2 linked regions of the Lepisosteus oculatus genome follow. The protein of the gene in region 2 purifies or fractionates together with the protein of the main gene of each other region. This does not show direct contact. Links are inferred from orthologs where the notes say so. Each region holds a gene or a part of one and is shown on either strand. Other genes may lie near its edges. The genes, in order: tut1 and ubiquitin carboxyl-terminal hydrolase 15.

The links.
Region 1: the proteins of ubiquitin carboxyl-terminal hydrolase 15 (region 2) and tut1 purify together in Homo sapiens (affinity purification with mass spectrometry; 4 studies listed by BioGRID and IntAct, with this or other methods). This does not show direct contact. The link is inferred for Lepisosteus oculatus from reciprocal best matches to the Homo sapiens genes USP15 and TUT1.

What each region holds. Positions count from the first base shown.
Region 1 is NC_090723.1:7,412,430-7,424,485, reverse strand, and holds the start of tut1 (speckle targeted PIP5K1A-regulated poly(A) polymerase), read right to left. Parts: upstream 6,828-12,056; 5' UTR 6,716-6,827; coding exon 6,637-6,715; intron 6,283-6,636; coding exon 6,092-6,282; intron 5,492-6,091; coding exon 5,282-5,491; intron 3,355-5,281; coding exon 3,240-3,354; intron 2,375-3,239; coding exon 2,247-2,374; intron 1,349-2,246; coding exon 1,122-1,348; intron 205-1,121; coding exon 95-204; intron 1-94. Other genes in the region: hdac5 (histone deacetylase 5), read left to right, coding at 10,553-10,735. UniProt on the Homo sapiens protein: Poly(A) polymerase that creates the 3'-poly(A) tail of specific pre-mRNAs. Localizes to nuclear speckles together with PIP5K1A and mediates polyadenylation of a select set of mRNAs, such as HMOX1.
Region 2 is NC_090702.1:5,057,142-5,069,197, reverse strand, and holds the start of ubiquitin carboxyl-terminal hydrolase 15, read right to left. Parts: upstream 7,882-12,056; 5' UTR 7,844-7,881; coding exon 7,755-7,843; intron 4,352-7,754; coding exon 4,224-4,351; intron 2,904-4,223; coding exon 2,773-2,903; intron 1-2,772. UniProt on the Homo sapiens protein: Hydrolase that removes conjugated ubiquitin from target proteins and regulates various pathways such as the TGF-beta receptor signaling, NF-kappa-B and RNF41/NRDP1-PRKN pathways.

The sequences.
Region 1 (12,056 bases), on a different chromosome or scaffold from region 2:
AGGCTTTTTTTAGGTTATTTATTTCCTTTTGCGGGAAACATCATGATGATGTCACTGTCATGCCTAAAAACAAAAGCACCAGCCAGCGCCTTACCTGCCAGCTGCTTCTGCTTTGCCCAGTACCTGATGGTGTACACCAGGGGCCTGAGCCTCTTGTCCAGTGAGCAGCACAGCTGGAGGAATCGGGTGTTTCTGACAGCCAGCCTGAGGGAGAGAACAGTGAAGAGGAGGAGATGTCACACAGCCCCATGTTTTGTCCAGTCTGCTATTTTTAGCTCTTACTGCAGAGCTACAAAACCTCATGATGTACTGGGTCTTCTTGAAGCAGCCAGAATGCCCAGAGCTATTAGGACCAATTAAACACATGCCCATTAAACAAGCCAGCACACAGGCAGAAGACCCAGAAATACAGCTGCTACTGCTGAGCATGTCTGGAAGGCTTTAGGCATGCACATTAAGAGAAGAAATGCATAGGAAACAAGTGGAAAGTGATTCATTTGAATCAACCAAGATACTGTTAAGAGCATCACTCTAACGATGGTATGTTCATGCAGTTTGAGGACCAGATGCATTCCATGACTTGTATGGAAAGTTGCTCACAATAACACAACAAGAGATGACAGATAAGTCACTTGTTCAAGGACTGCACGTTTCTGAAAGATCCTTTTACGTGTAAGGATTAAGAGGTGCAGGCTTTGAATAAAATGCTGTTCCTGGTAGACATGATGGTGATGTAGGTTTCTTGGCCCTTCATGAGAAATTCTGGATGGTGTCAAGAATGAAACTGAGATAAGTGCTTCAGAAGAAAAAATAAAAAGTACTGCTGCCAGGTCTTCTGGCACTGGTACAGCCTGATCTCCTAATGACTTAATTTAATCAATAACAGACTTAATTGGTCAATTAGGTCACCAACGAACAGGCTTTCCTCCAGATCTTTTAGCTATGAGGGATTTAAGTCACCTATTAAACTTCAGGACAGTGGCACTTCCGAGCAAAGACAGCACATCCCGATGATCACTCAAAGACAATGTATTAATATTGCAACGTTTGACATATCGCTGTCTCCCACGATGCCGTTATCCTGGGCCCGTGTCAGGGTGAGTCCAAGCCCTCCAGCTGACCTGTTGTTGATGGAGATGTCTCCCTGCAGCCCCAGGTCTCGATGGGTGAACTTGACGACGGGGCACCGCGCCGAGCTCACCGCCTGCACCTTGTGCACCCCAGGGACACACTTCCGCAGCACGGTAGCCACCAGATCCAGGACCTCCGCAGGAGAGGCCGTGGCCAGATCCATGTCCGACAGGATGGAGTCCTCGGAGCGTGCGTCTTCCCACTGTCCCTCTCCGGCCTGGCGAAGAGGACAAAGGTATAATAATAATGAATAATTGCTTACACTCCACCCAAAGCACTGTACAGATGCCCTCCACCACCACCAGTGTGCAGCCCCACCTGGATGATGCGCCAAAACTCTCCCCACACACCAGCTCTCAGTGGGGAGGAGGGCAGAGTGATGAAGCCAGTTCAGAGACGGGGATTATTGGGAGGCCATGACTGGTAAAGGACAGGGGGACATTTTGCCAGGAAACTGCGATAACACCCCTACTCTTTTCGAGAAACACCCTGGGATTTTTTAATGACCACAGAGTCAGGACCTCCATTCTATGTCTCATCCAAAGGACGGCACCTTTTTACAGTGTAGTGTCCCCATCACTATTCTGGGGCTTTAGGACCCACACAGACCTCACGGTGAGCGCCCCCTGCTGGCCCCACTAACACCTCTTCCAGCAGCAACCTTAGTTTTTCCCAGGAGTCTCCCATTCAGATACTGACCAGGCTCACACCTGCTTAGCTTCAGTGGTCTGTCAGTTGTGAGTTGCTGGGTGATATGGCTGCTGGCAAAGCCATATATAAGCAGGGACAGTTCTTCATAATGGTGCTCGAGTATGAATTTTTTTGCAAATGCCAGAGGTAGAGGGTTCAGTGTGGTTCCCTCATAATTCTTGGGTCCTATCAGTGACTCTACTGCAGTGAGCTCTCCCTACATAGTTCATCACATAAACTGCTCTTGAATAAAAAGCAGTTGCTAAATGACTATTACTGAAATATCTAGTAATTCTTACTGTAAAAGGAATGCTTTTGTGCAAAGCAGCTGTACAACATAAGGAAGCACTGCGCTGCTTTGAAGCACAACTTCTTTCGACCGTCTCACGACTGATCTCTGCATGCAGAATGGATACCGTTGATACCTGCTCTGTGGAGTTCTTGGCTCTGGCTTGGAAGGTCTTGGTGTTCTCCAGATCCAGAAAGAGGTCCAAATCACAGGAATGAATATCAAAAGTGTTCACAGAAGAGCCGAAGGCCAGGATCTTACACTCTGAGAGAGAAATGCATGCACAGAGTGGATTATTGTCTATAACATCACATTGACAGAGTTTTATAGTCAGAATTCCAGAAATCACCTTTTAAAGAGCAACAGAGTTTCAGATATAAATAGGTGTGGTCTGGACACAAGATCATCCTTCAATCATCAATTTCTAAAGACCTGAAACACTTGAGTTTGGATCAATGGTTCAGTTAATCGTCAGCTGACATTATTCTAATAGATCTTCGGGGTGTTGGCATGTTCATTTTACAAGATCTAGAAAAACTGATTTGAACAAGCCACCTAGGTAAGCAGTCAAAACAAAATTGTTACTAGAGTTTGAAAACTGACAAACTAAGGTTGAACTTTTAAGCCTGCTGGATTGAGGCTCTCCAGGACAGAGACTGTCCAACCTACTTTGTATTTTTCAGACGTGAAAAGGATATTTGAAATTGACTCGAAATGGGTAACTGAAATTTACTATAAATCTGGACCTTTTCTGAATACAGTAGGCCAAAGTGCATTTCCAAACACAAACTAAAAACTGTAATACAGACATGTCTGCTAGGAATGAGAATAGCTGTAATGAAAAGGTTTTAGTCCTACTATGCTTGAATGAACTGGTGCATTCAAAGAATGCAGGTTTTCAAGAATTGCTGCACGTACTTTCTTGTATCATATTGCACAGTTAAAGCTGGCATTAAAAAAACAGATCAGATCATTATTAATGATTACATGTCACAGGAAGAGATGAAACAGTTTAATTCCCAATAAAGCATCCGGTGTTATGGTAAAACACAATATAAGCTGTGGCACACCACGGCAACACCGAGTAACCACAAGGAAAACCCAGCCATGGACAGAGAGCAGGCAGTACCTGGAAAGAACTCATTGAAGACCTCCTGCAACAGCGCAATCAAAAGCTCTCTCGTGCTGCGCTCGCTGTCCGACAGCTCAAACAAGTCCACCAGCATCTGCATCTGCTCTGCCACCTGCCAGGACAAGCAGACAAGCAGAGAAATGATCTCCTGCCGCAGTCTGCACCGAGCCAGAGGGAGCTGGTAAGCCAGTTCAAATAAGCTCCACTCTTAAAATGACTTTCCCCTTACATGGTATCTCTTTTGCGGTTGGACAGATTGGGCAGGGACGGGACTGGCAAACGGGACTTGGCGCTGGAGAACGTCTCCGTTTCCTTACACAAGGTGGCGACGCAATGATGAAAGAGCAAACCAAACGTGACGGAGAAGCCTCTTTGCAAACACTAGGCCAGAGGCTGAACGTTCTGCTTCGCCAATCCATCAGAGAGACAGATCTCCTGGTATAAAGTATGCAGCAGGGCCCCAGGCTTGAACGCTTCATCTCCTCTGTACTGCAGCACACCAACTCTGCACAGCACAGCACCCAGGGTCTGAGGCCTGGGAGACTAACATACTCAGAGGAGCAAAGGGAAGTCGCATCACTGCGACACCTCGCTCTACCCAAAGATCCTCGCTGCCTGGTGACTGAAAAACAGGAGCTGCGTCATACCTTACCACAAGCTCACAGCCCACGTGCTCCCATCTCAGTCGTCTCTGCCGACCGATGCCCGGAGACGCAGGCGGCTTTCATCAAAATAATCTGCACAGCATGCGGTACACACTACCCCTCCTCGCTGGCAAATCCACGGCCCGGGTTACTAATTCTCTCTTTACATCACTCTTCCGCACTTCTGACACGAGACGCCTCTTAAAAAACAACTTGTCCTTTCCTCTGGCAACTCCCCAAACAGTCCAGAGTTATTTACTCACACCCTTTGTAGACTCTGATCACCCCACCGGCGGTGCCCACTCACCTGGTGTTATGAGAGATGGAGGAATAACTGACTCACAACTAGGGATCAAACTAGTTTCAGAATTCTAGGAATAGGTTTTAAAAAAGCAAATCAGAATTACAACAGCTGGGAGGTCTAGCTCTCAGCCAGTGCTACAGCGCACAGCTCTGTGCTGGTAGAATCACCATCTTATTGGATGCAAAGACTTAAGAGTGACAATGTACAGACACCTACACACCTTTACACTTCCAGGCTGAAAAGGGAGCAGTATAGCCTGTGTCTGAATTGACTTTATCCACCAGAACATTTTAACTGCCTCTTGCTACAATGAATGAGTACTGAATAAAAAGTAAATGACTACACATAATATCACATGTATAGGCATGATTAGGATTCTGAATTTCCCAAGTTAAGAGTCCAACAACATACCTCTTGTATTGATACAGTTTAATACAGTTGAACAGATAATCAGTTCTCACTAAGTCTACACTAGACCCTAATTTGAGAAATTCCTCTGAGTTTATGGTGCTTATTATGACTGCCTGTAATTATTTAAACACTTGTGTACTTGTGGTTATTATTCATTAAAGACATATCCCTTCTGTGGAAAAGAACAGTCACTTGGTCAAAAGCCAGTGAGTAGAATATCTGGAATATATACAGAACATAGTCAAACCTAAATTGGAAAACTGAAGCACTAATAATTGAGTTAAACAAGCTTTGGAATAACAGTCTATCAGCATCACTTGTGAAATTGAAGAGAAAGTGCCTGGTGAAATCCAACGCAAAAAAACAGTTAATCTAAATGCAAGAGGTTTAGCATTTTTTTCCAACCAGAAAACTGCATTGGTAAAAGGTACATCATGTGATAAAAAAAGAACACCAAACATGTGTAACCCAACATATAATTGAGCAGCAAAAAAGACTTGTTTCAGACACTGGTACCTATAGATAGCACTATACTGTAGATCCTTTTAGATCAATCATGTTAAGGTGGCCTGATGCAGAATCCAGCTGAGACATGAAGAGCTCAGACAGTGCGAATAAACAAAAGCTCCAGCAGGACTGGAACCCGGCTGGTATGCAAGGAGAGAGAGAGAGAGACTCACAGAATTGGCCTGACAGAGGGCATGGGACAGAAGTTCGGGGTTCATCGAGGGGCTCTTGGTGACGTCCTGCTTCCGTTTGGGGACAAACTTGAACTCCTTGCTCTCCCTTTGCTTGATGCGCAGCCTCTGGCCCTCCATGCTGTGCTGGGGCTGAGACAGGGCTGCCTGCTGGCCCTGCTTGTCGCTGAACTCCACGATGGCATAGACACCCTGGGAGACACAGTTGGAGAGAAACAACAACCCACGTCCATACCTGGTCAGTCCCACACTCGACTCTCGGTTGTCCTAGAAACAGATTCTTCCCTCGGCCTTGCATTCCATGCCCTTTGCTTGGACATGAACTAACCCGTTACTAGACTTATGCTTTTTGCACATCTCTTGTTTTGTTCAGATGATACTCCTGCTTTCAGCAGATACCTGTAAAGGATATTTCTTTTGCCTGCATGACATCATTGTAATAACTTCTATTTAAACTGACATGTTAAGTGATGACTAGTTAGTTAATAATAATTCCTCACACTTTTATAGCGCTTTTTTTGGACACCCCACTCAAAGCACTCCCCTCCACCACCACCAATGTGCAGCCCCCACCTGGATGATGTGACGGCAGCCATAGAGCACCAGTACACTCCCCAGTACAGCCCTCAGTGGGGAGGAGAACAGAGCGATGAGGCCAGTTCAGAGATGGGGATTATTAGGAGGCCTTGACTGGCTAGGATGCCAGGGTAACACCCCTACTCTTTTCCAGAAACACCCTGGGATTTTGTCATGACCGCAGAGAGTCAGGATATTATATTTACAAAAACGCACCTTGTCCTTATCCATGATGACTTCGGACACGGGTCCGAAGCGTTGGAGATATTCCATGATCTGCTGCTGCGACGTCCCCTTTTGGAACCCGCTGACGAACACGCTGTTCTCCACCTGGGTCCGGCGAGTGTCCCGGACGGCGCACAGGTTCCGATGTTTACGGCCCTTCAGGTGGTCCTGAAGGCTTGTCCCTGCATAACCACACACGTTACACTCTAGATAAGCAGAAACGTGTGCAGATACAAACGAAACAGGAGCCTTGCGCCGAAACAAACACGGGCATGCATTTCAAACACACGGACGTGCATTAAAAAGGCTAAAGAAAGAGGAAAGCACGTACTGCCCAGTGTTACTGAAAACGCAGGACCAATACAGCCGCTTACTTTTATCATACACGGGCTGTGAGATTCCTTCGCAGCCATAAAACATTTTTTGAATCTATTCGCCTTAACAAAAATGAAATAAACTCTGTTTCTCAAACAATCATGCCACTGCTGTAAACTGCTCTGTAAGTAATGGTGCTGCGCAAACTTGACAAAACTTACTGTTTGGTACACTGACATCACACAAGTTGCAATGGAACCCTCCTTTCGGAACAGGCTGGATATCTGTATCTAACTCCATCTCGATCAAAAGCAAAATATAACAGAAATACGCTTAATCTCTTAACTAAATAAGGATTAAATTAAATCTCCCTCCCTTCCACGCACTCTCCCCTGCCTCATCCCTCCCATCATTTCGCCCCGGTATGGCAACAAAGATAGGAACTTTTAGTTCCGGAGGAACAAGAAGTCCACACGCGGAATTTGCAGAGTCCCACCGTACGAGGGAGACAAAGCTTTATAAAACCCAGCAATTCTCAGGAAATCTCACTGATGTTTTACATCTGCATGTTTTCCGTCTCACATGCACGGTGTATAACGAACAAAAAGCACTAACATATAAATACCACACAAAACAGTTTTATATACATATCACTGCGTCCTATCTGATCAGTTAAAGCTTTTTAAAAGAAAAAAAAACTCTACATTTTAAACAGCAATTTCAGGAGATCGCTAATGATAAAGAAATGTTTGCTCTTGTGTTTTTCTCCTTGTCTTGTACCATTAACATTTTATAAACATTATTGTTGTACAGAGGGGTGGCGGACTTTTTTTGTGTGATATCCAGGCACCAGCATCTCCGTGTAACGCAAACCACACTCTTTGTTTTCAAAGATACACCGGGAGGCGTCGTGGATCTGATACAAAATGGAAAAGAAAGCTCTTCGATTCCAAAGACAATTTCCTGTCATATAAGTAGTTGTGACTTTTTCTTCTTTGTGTGGGATCTATTTTTTCTCATTAAATGCTGCGAAGGGGGGAGATGGGGGGTTGACATTTAGATTTGGCTGTAGAAATCTGACTCACTTGTATGTGAGTCATCCCTCACTTACGAATATAGCGCCTCCTCCCTCTGTTTGAGTCGGAAGTGTCCGCCGATGCAGACAATTTAGCCTCGACCCCGAGCAGTAGGCTTCGTGCCAAAGCCAGACATTAGATAATCATGAAATATACCATTTTCATTTTTGACATATAACATTTTCATATCATTGCTTTCTGATAATCCTTTACTTCTAAAATCGATCAAACAAAAACATTTTGGGGGGGCTAAGTTAGACAAGGTGCAGAGTATTACGAACAGGCAGCAAAAAAACATTAAATACTGTACCAAGTAGGGACATTAAGTTTGAAAAAGCTGCTTTGTGGAAAAAAAGGAATGTGTAAATGTTGACACGCCATTTTCATCTTCCAGACAAAGTTGGAAAGCAATACAAATCAAGGAGAATCTCATTATATATGTTAAATTAAAATTAAGAGATATCATTGCTAAAATTGTCACTAAGTTACAAAAGAGAGAGCTATTTTACAGTGTTCTCAAGATGTGGGAAACTGAAAAAAGCTTCTCGTCCTTTTACCGAGGTTAGAGGATCGATGAGCTACGAACTACCAGACGTGTTAGATTTATGAATGGGCTCCTCTGGTTTCAGACCGTTCCTAACGCTGTAAAGTGGGTTTGGTGATTTGACTACTCTCAAGGACACTCGGGGTTAATAACTTCGTGATTTTTGTTAAAGTGGAGCACAGGCTGAGTTCACACCAGACACAATTAAGTTATAGGATTAAGATCAACAAAAACAAAAGAGTTTATTAGCAAAATATATAGTTCATTTTCCATCTCTCTTTGGACATAATTAAGACGGCAACACTTGCAGAAGTCTAGGTCATTTATCGTCTTGGGCTGCTACTCTTCTTTGTTTCAATACATAGAGCAGACGTCCGCAACGAGTCGAAGGAACGACAGATATCTTCATCTGCTTCCAAAGCACGAGAGCGCTACCGCCGGCATGAAAAGCGCCGCATCGCCATGGAGACGGGTCCTCATCCCTGACTCGCCGGCTGCTGTCCGGGAGCGCTGTGGGTGAGGGGACTGAGGCGGGGTCATTCATCTCGGCCAGCCTGCCACAGAGACTGGCATAGGAAAACCACGCTAATGGGTGAAAACCATTAGTATGTGCGAGAGAAACAATTTACGGGCATCGTGCAGGACGCTTTTTCGTCGAATGGAGCAGAGAGTGTCGAGACGCTTTTGCGTGCACAACAGGGTGAAATGCATTTTAATAATGGAAAAACTTTCCCCCCGCACTGACCTAACGCCCTGTTTTCTGCCACTATATCGAGTTAGAGGGTTGAATTGTAGCTACGCTCACGGAAGATGTTGAAGTGATCAGCGTGAAGGCGCTTTTGAGATAGTTTTCACCGCGAAACTTTGGGTTGCAGAATTGTGTAAGAAGACTGAATCTACTCCGGTGATCAGACTTATTATTTAAATAAACGGTTTTAGAAAGATTAATAATTTGATTTGTCTTAGCACATAATTCGTATCCCATATCCACGTCCTTTGATACTGCCAGAGGAAAAAAAATATTCATGTAATTGTCTTTTTTTTCAGTTATGTATCTACCTTAATGTTCTTTTCGATTTTCTCCTAAAAGGAGGCTTTGACGTCACAAAGCTGCCGTGACTCATTCTTTTGAAGAGCAGGGATGACGTCACCGCATCCCCGCAGGAGTATTGAGCTGTGTTGAATGAGGAAGCTGATGGAGAGCTTGTCAAGGCCCTTTTAACAGCCGCATGATGGGAACACGTGTTGCGTGTCTCTGTCCGCGCAGGCAAGGGCTCGCGGTGTTGCACAACGGTACTTAGAATGCCAGTCATGCTCCCGGCCCCGGGTAACCATGGCAACAAGCATCAAGCTGGAGAACGCATAGTGATGGCACCAATGCTTTCTCTCGGCCTCTGTCCTTTATCATTATGTCTCCATTCCCGAACTTATGTTCACAACTCCCTCCTTTCCCTCTCCCCCCCCAAACTTGTGTCGGCGGCGCGTCGTTTTCCGGCTCGGGATTCGTCGCCCGCTCCTCGGTACTTTTCATAATAAGAGAGCTCCGTGTCTCGAGGGGTCTCCGGGCCGCGGCTCGAGACTCTCAGTGAGACGTGAGACACAACGGGGGGACCGTCTGCACGGACAGGAGCTCGGCAGACTTTATAACTACAGGCGAGCATCTCAGCCACTTCGCTCCGATTGACATGACTAACAAATGCTGTCGTGGGCTTATGTCCAACCATGCAGCCGACAGAAACGCTCCAAAGTTTAGCAAGGTGGGAACCCTTTGACCTGGACCGGCCTGTGACTCGTGGCCGGGAGCATTGGAGTAGATTTAATTGCATGACTCTGAAAGTAGTCCATCCCTGACCTCGAATCACAGCATATCCCCACACAGATCCTCGGGTACTGGCGTGAACTCGCACAACTTCTAAGCACAAGGTCTAAAGCTCGGAAAAAAACTCAAACTACTGCAACCGGGCTCATCATGTTTCTACTGTTCTAACAAGTGCGGATGAGGCTAATGTCAGCGGGAAACGCTGAAAAAGAGATAGTGGATCGTGCCCGTTGTAAATCAGAAACACTGCGAGAACATATATTTAGCGCGCCTTGTGACGCATAAAATATGCTCACTCATTTCCACCCAAAACCCATTTCCATTTCCACAAAAAAAAGAGAACGTGCATCTGGTAAACGACAGACAACTGCCTTCAATGCAGCGCTACAATCGTGGAAATATATATTTTACTAGACGAGCATGAATCGGTGGTAACGTTCTCTCCGAACTTCAAAAGCCGCAGAGGTCTGCATCCGCGCCTGTGCCGAAACGCCGTGTCAACAGCGCAACATTTCGCTGTGTCAGACGTTGACTGGGGAGACAGACCACACGTCAGGAGCGCCAGTCGACGCGAGGTCTGCCACCATACTCAGGTGTGGGTTATCTTCCCACTGTAGGTTATTCAGTGGTTGCAGAGTCTATTTTTAGCACGCGGCCGGGGGGGGGGGGGGTCACGTGACGGGGGAGTGACGTCACGAATGTTGTTGTTGGTGGAGGAGCTGCCAATATGGAGGAAAGAGAGCTGTGACGGGAAAAAAAATACACATACATTTCTTTTTTTTTTTACCCCCCCAAAAAATACACACCAGCTAGCGCATCCGCCGTCGAAGATCCGGACATCTCCTACAGAAAGGCAAACGGGATATCTCCTTGATCATCAGGTAAAGATAGTTTGTTTACTGACACTCATTTTTTTCGGACCGTTCTTTTCAATTGCGAGTACTCGTAACTAAGCGGGTCGGTGCTACAAAAAAATGCATTTATTCAAGAAATGTATCATTTAAGCTTTCACGGCCGCAGCGAGACCACGGTTTGTGAGTATTAACAAGCATTCGGGGGGGGGGGGGACGCGTTTTCCCAGGTGCTGCCGACAGCGATATACACGGATAAAGATAACGATTTGTTACAAAAACAGCGGTCATTTCCTTCTCCAGAATTAGTGCAATTTTTTAAAAGAATTGTGGTAGTGCGCTAAATACGACGCGGTGGGCAGTGCGGTGGTCATTTCTTCGAATGCCGAGTGACTCGTATTTGTATCGGCGGCGATGGCAAAAAGTTGAAGAAATATTCGACCGAGACCCTCGAAAGTCTAAGCAAGGAAATGAATTGACTGTAAATATGTTTTTTTTTTAAGAACTAGTGAGAAAGGTGGACCAAATAAGTCCACCAGATAAGTGAGCAAGTTGCTGTGAGACCGGGCTGTGGTTAAAGATGTTGAGATGATGTTTGTCATGGGTACATAAATCCGAGTTCTCTGTGCAGTGTCTTCATCGAAGTGTTAACACTTTTTCCAGTTGCTGGGTGTTAGAGAAACGACCAGAAACCGGTGGATGCAAATAATATTTCTGCCTTCCTTGTCTCGTTCCTGCAGAACGAGCATGTTATCCGCATGATATGTGGATTTTTTTTTATTTTCAAGTGTCAGTATCTGTTTGTCTCAGTTGTTGCGGTAATTTTTAGATCTCTGGATTGCCAGACGTGACCGGGGGGGTCGTGCATGCGTTAGGAGCTCAGAGCCAGCTCGCAGAAGATGAATTGAGGGGGTTAGCCATATTCATCCATTCTGGGAAAACAGAACATGTAAACTCCACACGCAAGGATCCGAAGTCCAGACTCAAACCCAAGATCTAAAGACCACCTACACCTGCAAGATGCCCACTCCCGGCAGTTTTTAAGCATCATCTATTAAAATCATTTACGACACTCCTGTATGCAAAAACACAGCAAAATATATGTTTATGTAGAGGTCACTGAAACAAATCCGCTTCAAGGAAATGTATCTATCTCTTTTGAAATTTGAATCTCCGAGGTTTTTTTTTAAGCACCGATTTTCTGACCAAGGTCTCACAAAGACTTCTGCACTTGAGAACGAGGGGAGTACAAAGCCAGTGTCATTTAGAAGAATCTGTTCTGGGCAGTATGAAAGCAGGATGGTGGTGGACACGCTGTGCTGCTGTTTTCTTTAAACTGACAGGGGAATAT
Region 2 (12,056 bases):
GACGAGCTACGTGGGACGAGCTACGTGGGACGAGCTACGTGGGACGAGCTATCTGTGAGGAACAAAACCAGGTACTCTGGTTTCGACAAATAGTCCAAAGGCATAAGCATAGGTTAACTGGCTTCTTGGATAAATGCATCATATAGGTCCTTTATCAAACTGAAGATTTTTTTAAAAGATTTACTTTAAAATGGCTTATTTTTCTAGAAAAATAAGCCATCCATCCATTTTGTAACTGTTTCTCCCAATTCAGGGTTGCTGGGGAGCCAGAGCCTATCCTGGCAAGCAATGGGCACAAGGCAGGATACACCCTGGATGGGACACCACAGGGCACACACACACACCAAAGCCAATTTTCCCAGAAGCCAATTAACCTCCCAGTATGTTTTTGGAATGAGGGAGAAAACCAGGACAAAACCAATGCAAACATGGGGAGAACATACAAACTCCACACAGATAGAGCCCCAGGTTCAGAATTTAACCAAGGGCCCCTGTGCTACAAAACCCACAATGCTGCCCACTGTGCCACAGTGCCACCCACATATGGGGCTGAAACAAAGTTGTAAATAAAACTACCCAAAAAGCCTGAGAATCACCAAACGTATGTTTGAATAGCTTCCTTCTCGTGCGTCTCTTGATGGTGCTTTATGCATTATAATGTTATGAATGCCTGCAGTTTTCATGGGGAAAGTAACCTTTTAAATGTCTGCGATTTAACTTTGAAACCTCCTTAACAGTACAAATCATATTTTCCAAGGAAATGTAAGTTACAGTTTTCAGCATTATGAATTTTAATTGGCTTAAAACCACTAGCGTGGAGTACAACTGACACTTGATGTTACTACTAAAAGTATGTTCCAACTGCAGTGTAGTGCACCCTCTATTGGTATCAGAATATGTGACAAGGCTAAAGGTACTATTGTTAAATATAGTGCTTAATTTGGCCTGCCAAACACTTTTCAATTAGATATTTGACAAAAGTTATGCTATATACTGTAGTATACTGAAGATGAAGGCTAACATGTAACATATCACAATTATCCCCTTCTTACCAAATAAGCAAGATTTAGAACACGAAATTCAGTCCTACTTAATTTGTAACTTTGCTGACTGGTTTGGCCAACTGAAATGAACACAATTTCAGCTGCACATTGGCATACTGAGAAAACGATTATTAGATTAGGTGCACGGCAAGATTTCTAATGAAACAGTTTAAATTCACTTCATTAGATACGCAAATACTACCTCTTTTAATTACACGCACAGTCACAAAGCCTGCTCCACTGTGTGCTTTTTTTCCCCATTAGTTCCGAGAATCTGATACAGCTAGCTGACAGTATTGAACCAAATACATCTGCTGTCCTAAACACAGCATATATCATTTTCTGGATTAACGGAATAAAAACTCAAGCTTGAAATAAGAAACAGAAGACTGATAAATGGAAACTTTTACAAGATCTGTAGGTTATTTGTTCAGAACATTGCTGAAGAGGTGTTCAGACAGGAGGGAAAGTTCTCCAATATTATAACAGACTGCAATGACCACCTTGCTACGTTTCTACTATTTATAATAATAATAATAATAATAATAATAATAATAATAATAATAATTGCTTACACTTATATAGCGCTTTTCTGGACACTCCACTCAAAGCGCTTTTCTGGACACTCCACTCAAAGCGCTTTACAGGTAATGGGGACTCCCCTCCACCACCACCAATGTGCAGCCTCACCTGGATGATGCGACAGCAGCCATAGTGCACCAGAACGCTCACCACACATCAGCTATCAGTGGGGAGGAGAGCAGAGTAATGAAGCCAATTCATAGATGGGGATTATTAGGAGGCCATGATTGGTAAGGGCCAACGGGAAATTTGGCCACTACGCCGGGGTTACTCTTTTCGAGAAACGCCCTGGGATTTTTAATGACCACAGAGAGTCAGGTCCTCGGTTTTACGTCTCATCCGAAGGACGGCGCCTGTTTACAGTATAGTGTCCCCGTCACTATACTGGGGCATTAGGACCCACATGGATTTATTGTAAAAAATAAAACAAAAACGTTAACAGTTCCATAAATTGAAATGTTTCTTTTATGATTCGGATCCAGATAATGTTTATTTTTTCTTTACGAGTGTGGCAAGCATGGTGTGGCCAAAAATGCATTATTAATATAATCTAATAGGTAGGGAATCTCTGTTTATTAGACAGATTAAATACTGTATTTACTCGAGTACGGATCAAAAAGGCTTACACATTCATGACTGTATCGAAGAACTTGATCTCAGGCTTTCATTTTTTTTTTACTTTGAAGGGCTTCACTTGAACGCCTGGTTATTTCTATACCCTGCTGATTCAATGGAAACATCCGAATGAGTATTTTTTTGGTATTTACTCAGGATTTACTCAAGACCTACCTTTGAGGTACTTTGTACATGATCGTATTATGCAGCATCTCCCCTGAAAGAAGCCACATCAGACCCAGACTTTCTCAGAAAGACAAACGTGAGAGAGATCAGCAGATAAAGACTAACAGGATTTGAGCGGTTTGCAATGATGGAAAGGACAGTGGACAGTGGAAATGTTAAATGGCTGTGCATGTCTCTGAGAGAGAAGATAATAGGAAGTGTGCTACATTCTACAAACCTTACATATGCTATGAGGTGCCCCAATATAGATCAAATGCATAATTAATAGCAGCGAGTATAAAATGTTAGTCTGGTGTTTAAAAACAACAACAACAACAACAACAGCTCCGGGGTAGGTATACTGTACCTTGCGTGCTATTGGCTCTTGACTCACAGTCAGTCCATACCAGCTCACTAACTTATTCCAGCCCTCAGTGGGCACCAGGATGTAGTCCAGCTCATCGATGAGGTGTTCCTTAAGGGCCTGGGAGTCGCCATCTGTACGGCAGAGGGACAAAGATCAGATCTCCATCTTGGCCTAGTCTTCAATTCAGTTCACTGGGTTCATAATCCAAGACAAAGAATTGGGCGGAATTGAGTGGGCACTTGGCACTCATGGGACACATTGAAAAGCACATTATAAGAACGTACCATTACAATGGTAATCTGGGTTCCCCGAAATTGTCACTAGTACCAAAATGGGGTTTCGCCCCCAAATGCACCAGAGGCCCTTACACCACAATCCAGGGAAACAGGTATACAGTACATTGCCCACTCAAGGGCTGCACAGGTTCAGATGCTGGCGCACCTCTGATTGTCCACCTCTTTCCCAGTTCCCTCTGTTCTGGATGCACAGAGAGGGAGGGTTTAAACATTCTCTCGGGCATTGCTTTTGTGCATTCACCTAGCCTGGAAGGTGTTAATGCCTTTATACAAGTTACTGAGCACCAGTTAGTGTCCTCTGCTCAGTCCACCTTGTTAAATCCTTTCCCCCCTGTATAAAACGTCACTCACACTTAACAGGTAATGGGGGACTCCCCTCCACCAACACCAGTATGTAGCCCCACCTGGATGATGCAACAGCAGCCAAACTGCATCAGGATGCGCCCCACACATCAGCTCTCAAGGGGAGGAGAACAGAGTGATGAAGCCAGATCAGAGGTGGGGATTATTAGGAGACCAGGATTGTTAAAAGCCAGTGGGAAATTTAGCCAGGACACCGGGACAACACCCCTACTCTTTCGAGACAAAACAGTCAGAACCTCAGTTTGATGTCTCATCTGAAGGACAACACCTTTTTTACTGTACAGTATCCCCATCACTACACTGGGGCATTAGGACCCACACAGACCACAGGGTGAGCGCCCCCTACTGGTGCCACTAACTCCTCTTCCAGCAGCAAATTTAGTATACATTACCATGTTGTATTGGTCAGTGATTACTCCAATAATGCATGAAGTGCGTCTCCACCTGCCTGCAAAGTAACTAACTCGTTAACTAACTCATAAAGGTAATTTTGCGCACCAAAATTCATTTAGGGTGGTCGTAGCAAGAAGCTCGAATACTTACGAAGTCATACCCTTTCCATTTTTCATCCAAGTTAAAGATTTACTTCTTTGTTCGTGAATGTGCGGACTAGATTGGATATACAGTATAAGAAATATTCTCAAGAGTCGTGACCGCAAGATTTTAAAGCAACAAAACGTGAACACTGTCAGAATACTCCTGCAAGGCACTGTGTAAACACACTAGGCCACACGGCTAATTGGGAAGCACATCTCTGAGGTAGCCGGGAAAAGAACCGAAAGCATGATGTACCTTTGAGGAGGCCAGAGTTGTCAACGGGGCCAGGATATACATTCTGTTCTCCCATCTGGTATTTGTCCCAGCTGTCGAAACCAACATATTTCTTCCACTGCTTGAACCAGCGGCTATCTACTAAATACCTGTTAAAAAAAAACACAACATACTTATAAGTATTACACATTATTTTTTCCGATTATTACTTTGCTTGTTGAATATATTCGTTCAGCAACAGGATACTTAACCCTCCTCCTTCATGGTACCGTATGGACATCCTCCTTATTGTGCCGAAAAATCTAAAGATAGATACCAGTAAGAGCAAACTATGTTCTCTCTTATGGCTAGTAGTCCTCTCATTGTGCCACACTTTGATGAACACTGCACTTTATGTGCGTCCAAGTTAAACATAATCTGAGTTGAGATTTGGATTTCACATCCAAACAAACGATGTCTAGCTTTTCAAAGCGGTAAAAAAGTTAATTGCTGTCTCCCTCAGACTAGTTCAGCTCAGAGAACCAGTTTATTTCATTGAGCCCAGAAATGGCTCATGTCACGCTCTTCTTAAAGAAACATATCATTGCCACTGTGAAGAAATGATTCTACCGGTTTTAAGCAGATTGCCTGCATCAAACAGCTTGACTGTGCAAATTCCCCAGTCTATTGATTTTCAAAAGTCGCAGCAAATTTGGAGAATGTTAGGCAAAGCTCTGCAGCTTAGCTCTTAACACTGATTGGTTAAACTACCCTTGTCATAATGCTTACAGCACAATTTCAATTGGCATACCAGTAACTGGTATGACCACTGAAGAAGGAATTTTAACTGATTTTACTTGCTCTTATTGCATCAAACATGTATTTTATGCAACTCCATGACCTTTGCTTTAGGTGTTATGTGCAATACTCTATGAACAAGAATTGCTTCTGAAAATAATTCATAAAGCTATTATTGTATGTTTGGAGTACATCAGCCTAAAGGTATACGAAAACAGAGGAATTTTCAGCAGCCAGAGTTTTTGTCTCTGAGATACAGGAATCACATTTTCACAGGGAGTCAAGAAAAATATGTAAGGCTTGAAATAAGCAATCAAAAGTATCCAAAATGCAAAAAGTCTGTAGTCTGTATAGCTTCCAGCACATGTTGTTTCCCTGTGGCTGTACAGTATGTGGTTCAGATGTTTACATGAAAAGTGTCCTTTTCTCAAATGCACAAGCATGAAAGTAAGGAAATTAACTCCAGTTAAAGTTTTGTAAAAAAGTTTTTTTTTCCCTTTTTTACAAAAACCACGGCCACGAAGAACCACAGAAGCAGCTGGATTAGATCATAGGCTTGTAGAATGAGGCTTCCCTGTGCTTACTGAACTACAGTACACTGGAGATACAGCCCTGACTGCGCTAACTGCTGATCAGGAAATAAAGCTCCAATGCCTTCTATGACAGATGATGAGATCATCAGAATCAATACTACTTGAGTTACTAATTAGCTGTACTTAATCTCTTTCAGTTAGCTGCTCTTTCAAGGCAGTTGTACAGATCTGAAAACTCCTCATCTTTTCTTAAAGTATAAATGACCATGATGGTAGCTGTAAAAGGTGTGGATTTAACAGCAGCCGGTACAAACATTAGTCAGTGAATGATCATTTACCCAGGAACAGTTTGCGCCCAGGAATGATGTGTTGGGTTTGCACTAGACATAATGGTCAGCTGCTGGATCACAAAACCTTTTGCCCCATGTTTGCAGGAACATGCTCTGCTGAGATGGTTCTGCCACTCTATCAAACTGGCCAGATCTGTGGAGGGACTAGGATATGGAAACCCATGGACGTTTTGTCTCATCTCAGCCCCTGAACTCTGTAGCTCTTCCAAGGCTGTCGGTGGCTCACCCTGCCACCCAGTGATCCTGCATTATACAATACAGGATCACTGGGTAACCAATACCTAACCTGACAAGCAACAAGTGTGGGGCAGGGTACACCTTGGATGGGACACACACACACACACACACACACACACACACACACCAGGGCCAGTTTTCTCAGAAGGCGCAGTCTTTGGGCTGCGGGAGAGAACTGGAGCACTCAGAGGAAAAACCCACATGAGCATGTGGAGAACATACAAACTCCACACAGATAGAACCTTTGGAATTGAACCCAGGGCTCCATACAGCCATGCCAGCTACTGGCTCACCATGCTGACCCTCCATTCAACCAACTGTAGAGAAATTAATGTGTGCACTTGACCCAAATGAGGTTTGCCACGGCAGAGTGTGAATACTTATTCAATCAATACATTTTTTTTTGTTTTTGATTTTTCTTTGCACCTTTTACTGACATTTATTTTTTTTATTTTTTTTAGCTCACATATTTGAGCAGTCTAGATCAGACATACTGAAATACTGTCTTTAAAACAACATGCATCCATAATTTGTAATTCAAATAAATAGGAAGGGGGAAAGGAGGGGGTGAATAATTTTGCAAGGGAGGCTTTCCCACCACTGACAGCAAAATGTGCCCTAATAATAAGACTGCAGAAGAGCTCAAATGTAATGAACTGAACTTCCAGTTCTATTAAGATTATGTTCAAAGGGTCACAAATAAACACAGTATTTGAAACACCCAGGAAGTTCTAAAATAGTATGGATTATACACAGCGTTCAAAAATATCAGTTAAAAGTATTTAATACAAACGAAAATGACTTTTTTGGATGTATTTGCTCAATTCAAAACACACTAAGGCTGCCCCTTTCGGTATTCCAACTCGATATTTTCAATTCGGAATCTGCACTTTCATACTGACCATGTGCGACCTGTCAGTCAAAATACAAAACTCGGCACAGATCCACAACTGTGCAGAACCGATGACAATTACAAAAATCTCCACCTGCGATGCGTACTTGACGAGCGCTTTTAATTTGATAGCTTCTGAGAAGGAATTAGGGAAAGACACATACGCACAAATGTAGAAACTCGCTACAGTAGCTCGTATTTATCTCCTAGAACACAATGAATGACCAGCAAGCCGCAGCTTTCGTGGGAACCGATGGACAATCGAGCACCCTGTTCTGAAGCTTTCCTGAAACGGGGCACACGTTTTTCATCATGCAGGTCGTCGGACCAAGTGTGCGTTTTATGCTTATTGGTGACACTTGTAGATCCGATTGCGAAGTATTTCTGACAGGTGGCTGCCCTCGGCTCTCCGCCTCGCTCCTGCAGAAGGCGAGCAAGCTGATTCACTTCAAGAACCTATTTTAATCTCACCGGCCTCTCTCTGACAGCTACGGAGCCCCCAAACAGCAATCACGTAAGGGAAACTAAGATGTCACTCGGTGGCATTCCAAATGTGAACGACAAGGACTTTTTCACACCGGAGAAGTCCTAAAAGTGCCGGTCGCACTGTTCCCACAGCTAATCAGCTCCAGTGAGCCTCTTAAATGTCTGAGAACAGGGGCCATGCTTGCGGGTTTCCCACGGCCCCGTTGAGATGACAGCCCGTGCCACTGCTGTCTATCGCAAGCCACAGGGCTCCCATACAGCAACAGCCCCCTCTTACCAAGTGTCTCCCTTCCGCAGCTGTGTTTTCAGCAGCGCCGCGATCTCAGCTCGCTGGGTTTCTAGATCAGCCGCTCCGCCCTCGGCCATCTTTCCCTAGCAGAGCCCCGCTGCATCATGGGAAGGTCGACGTCACTGGCGTACGTAAGGCGGAAGGGGCTTGGAGGTTCGTGATCAATCTGCGACGGGGCTCTTGCAGGCAGTGACCCAGGGTGTGGAAAGTTGAAGTTGTGCCTACTTGATTTGTAAATCTTGATCACAGAGGAATCCTGTTAGCCGAATGTCCGTCACAACTTAATCTAAAAGTCTCCGAGAACATTTTGATGCAGTAAAAAATTGAACACCCCGCAGGGCGTTGAAATAGTTTAAAATTATATGGAATATCGCAAAACAGCTCTGAAGCCCCTCCTAAAAACATTAGTGAAGAGTGGCTGAACCGCTCAGCGAAGCCCAAACGAAGATTCACCTCCACCTAGTGCTAGAAAAGGGCATAACATAGGTCTAGTCAAGCCATTACAATCCACAAGAAAACTGATATTGGGTTGTGGCAAAATATTCAGACCCTCATACTGGTGAATTTCATGCCTTCTTAAATAAGCACCAGGTGTTTGACAACATTCCTTATTAATATACTACTTTGCAGCCCCAAAATGTCTCTTTGGTGAATTGAAAGGGGGCTAAACTTCACATTTAGAAAGTATACAGCTACTAAACCTTTAGCTGTTGTAATTCTTTTGATTTATGAATGCAAAAGCAACACAATTCAATTGTTAAGCGAATGCTTTGTATGCCAACTACAATTATTCGCGAATGTTTCTACAGTCCCACTGAGGGGTATGAGTTTCTGAGTTGATGGGCAATGACTATTTCAACCCAGCAGTAGGAATCACTAAGTGACACCATAAGTCTACCATAATGTAGTCATATGGTAATTGTAAGTAGTATATACAATATTAAATACCAGATAATATTAAGGTATTTTTCAGGGTGCAGTGGTCAGTGTTGCTGCCTGAATTCTATTCCGCACCTGGGGTCCCATCTGTGTGGAGTTTGTATGGTCACCCCGTGTTCGCATGAGTTTCCTCTAGGTGCTCAAGTTTCCTCAAGTTGTATTGGGTATTTAATCGGCTTCTGGGAAAACTGGTCCCGGTGTGAATGTGCATGTGAGACTGGTTGTGGTTGTGTCTGTTTGTGCCCTGCAGTGGATGGACATCCCATCCAGGATGTACTGTATCCTGCCTTTTGCCCGATGCTTGCTCTGATAGGCTCCGGTTTCCCCATGACCCTGAATTGGGAGATGCAGTTAGAAAATGGATTGATGGATTAAAGTATTTTCTTTTAGAATATTGCTCATCACAATTTTGTTATCCATCCCTGCTTTCTTCTGTTTTCTAAACTCCTTTATCCAGTACAAGGCCACAGGGGAAAGCAGAGTAAAACCCATAAACAGTTTTTGATGTTGATTATTTCTGCTCCATTTTTATTTGCTAAACTACAGTAGATTATTTTCAAAGCATCATGGATCAAGCTAAGAATGTATTTCACTTTGAGGTTACTTCACCAGCTCCACGTATAACAGCAGTTTATGTCCCACAGACATGTTACCTGTCAATGTATACTGATGGAAAAAAGAAACGCAACATTTTCTGGAATGAGAATACTGTAACGCATACGGCCACCATTGCAGGTTGTGCGAGCCGGCTTACTGGCGCGGTGACGTCACCGCCCTTCCCTGTGAATAGCAGGGACCACAGCCGTCGGGGTAACAGGAGATTTCCCTTTAGCTCAACTGGCTGGGTCCCTGTTGAGTGATGCTGGAGGCCCGGGTTTGAGTCCCCAACGGTGGGGGGCCGACCTGAGTTGGCAGCGGCGAGGGCGCATACCCCCGTGAACCCGAGAGTGCTACAATACTATAGTTATAGCTTATATCCTTTCACAAAAAGTTGCCAATTTGTTTTAAGCCCTCTGACCAGCAATACAGCTTGTGCAGTGAGGCATTGCAACTTGCCAATCACACGAAAGTTCGTTAGGTGCACTTTTACCCAACAAGGTCCAGGTGGAACAATGCCCGATCAGATCACCTTTAAAAGGGCATTAATTCAAAGCTTAGGTCACTGCAAGAAAAGGGCCACACTCAGTCAGTTTTCTGTGAATTCCATAATGCCTCGAATGTCACCAGAAGCAAGGGAGAGGGACATTGGCATGCTGCAGGCTGGCATGTCATGTGGCATCGTTGCCAGACACTATGGAGTAAGCCGCTCCACTGTGTCCCGACTGCAGAGAAGGTCTCAGCAGACCAGCAGGACAGATGACCATCCCAAGATCCGGTCGCCCTCGAGTGACCACACCAGAGCAGGACCGACACTTCAGACTGGTCCATCTGAGAGATCGTTTCAGATCTGCCACCCATACTGCTGCTGAAACTACTGGCAGACACAATGCCCGCATCAGTGACAGGACAGTGAGGCTCCATGCTCCTGGTCTTGGAGCAAGGCGACCTGTCAGAGGCCCTCTGCTCACACCTCCTAGACGTCACACCCGACTGGCCTGGGCCAGACAGAGGCTGCAATGGACTCGTCAGCAGTGGCATCAGGTCCTCTTCACGGATGAGTCACTCTTCAGCCTGTTCCATGCAGACGGGAGGACCAGAGTGTGGAGGAGGAGGTGTTGCTTTTCTTTTTGCCATCAGTATATATCTAATTTGTTTTGCAAGCTTACATAAAAGTCTGTTACTTTTAACCTTTTTAGGTTTTGCTATTAATTTAAGGAAATGTGTCGCAGAACCTACTCAGAAGCAAACAGCTACGAAAAGCTACCTGGAATTGTGTTTTTACGACGACTTATGTCACTTATTCTTATTCTAATTATTTTGAGTTGCAAATGTGTACTACTGTTGAAAACAGAGCAGGGTGTGGGAGGAGACGAAGCCAAACAAAATTCCACACACAATGAGTTGTTTTTAGAAATACATTTGTACATCTGCATAGTTTTCATTACACACTGTACAAATTCACAACACTGAATTTGTCATAATTATTCTGTTACAAAAATTAGTACAGAGTGCTATGCCAAAGAGAAATAAAATTAATCAACAGAGTTAATGACAATGGTGATTTTCACATTGAAAAGTTAAATAGGTAACTAAGTACACGAACTGGAAGAAGAATGTATAAGAAATTATTTTCCTAAAATCTGCATTTACACTTTTCTAAAATACAAGACCCATTTGTGCACAATTTTGTAAAGATAAGTTTGTAAAATTATAGAAAACCAAATCACTTGGAACTTTCCACAGGATATATCCACAGTGCCAAGATACAGTAGAGTGTGGGAGTCTGCAACTGTCCTAGTTAAATCATTATTTTATTTTAGTTTTTATATATAATATTCAAATATGTTTTATCTCTATCATACTGTAGATGTTGCTGTAAGCTTTTTGAATACTCTCCTCTTCAGGTGCAGATTACTATTTTGAATAGTAATAGGATGAAGGGGAGATCAGTTTTTATTTTTAATGTTTCCAAAACAATAAAAATCCATTAAAAAAGCAACTAATGCATTTGTTTTCTTTTCCTTTGCAAATTAATCATAAAAAATACTGACTGCTCTTAACACTCCCAAACACACCTTTTCTGGGATTTTGGCTTTGTTATTGTTTGACTACATTGTACAATATTAACTATCAGTAAGCAATGCCAATTAAGATAATACATTATTGTAAACAATCATGTCTTTTTTTCAGTTGATTTTTCTGTGTGCGTTTAACTATGTACATTGATCCTCTGCACAATACTCAGAAACAGACACAAGAGATCATCGAACTAATTTCCAGTTTAATATATACCGTAGTATTAGTTTGAAATATCTATTAGAACTTTTTGAACTTTCTATCACTATATATTAATAAGGTAAATACGTAGTAATGAAACGAGTTTGGATAAAGGAAGCTAGTGAAGTCAACTTCCTGCTGAGGATATGACTTTGGGGCAGCACCATAGCACAGTGATTAGCATTGCTGCCTTGCAGTGCTGTGGCTCTGGGTTAAATTCCTGGAATGCTATCTGTGTGGAGTTCTTATGTTCTTCTCTTGTTTTGTGTGGTGTTCCTCCGGGTGCTCCGGCTTACCCCCACAGTTGAAAGACATGCTGGTAGGTTAAATGGCTTCTGGGAAAACTGGAAAAAATTGTGCTTGTGTGTGTCTGTGTCTGCCCTGCATTGGACTGGAAAGGTAAAGAAAAGAAATACAACATTTCCCACTGTAGAGCCTTCTTCAGGTCTTTAACATCATTTGGGTAGTGTAGTA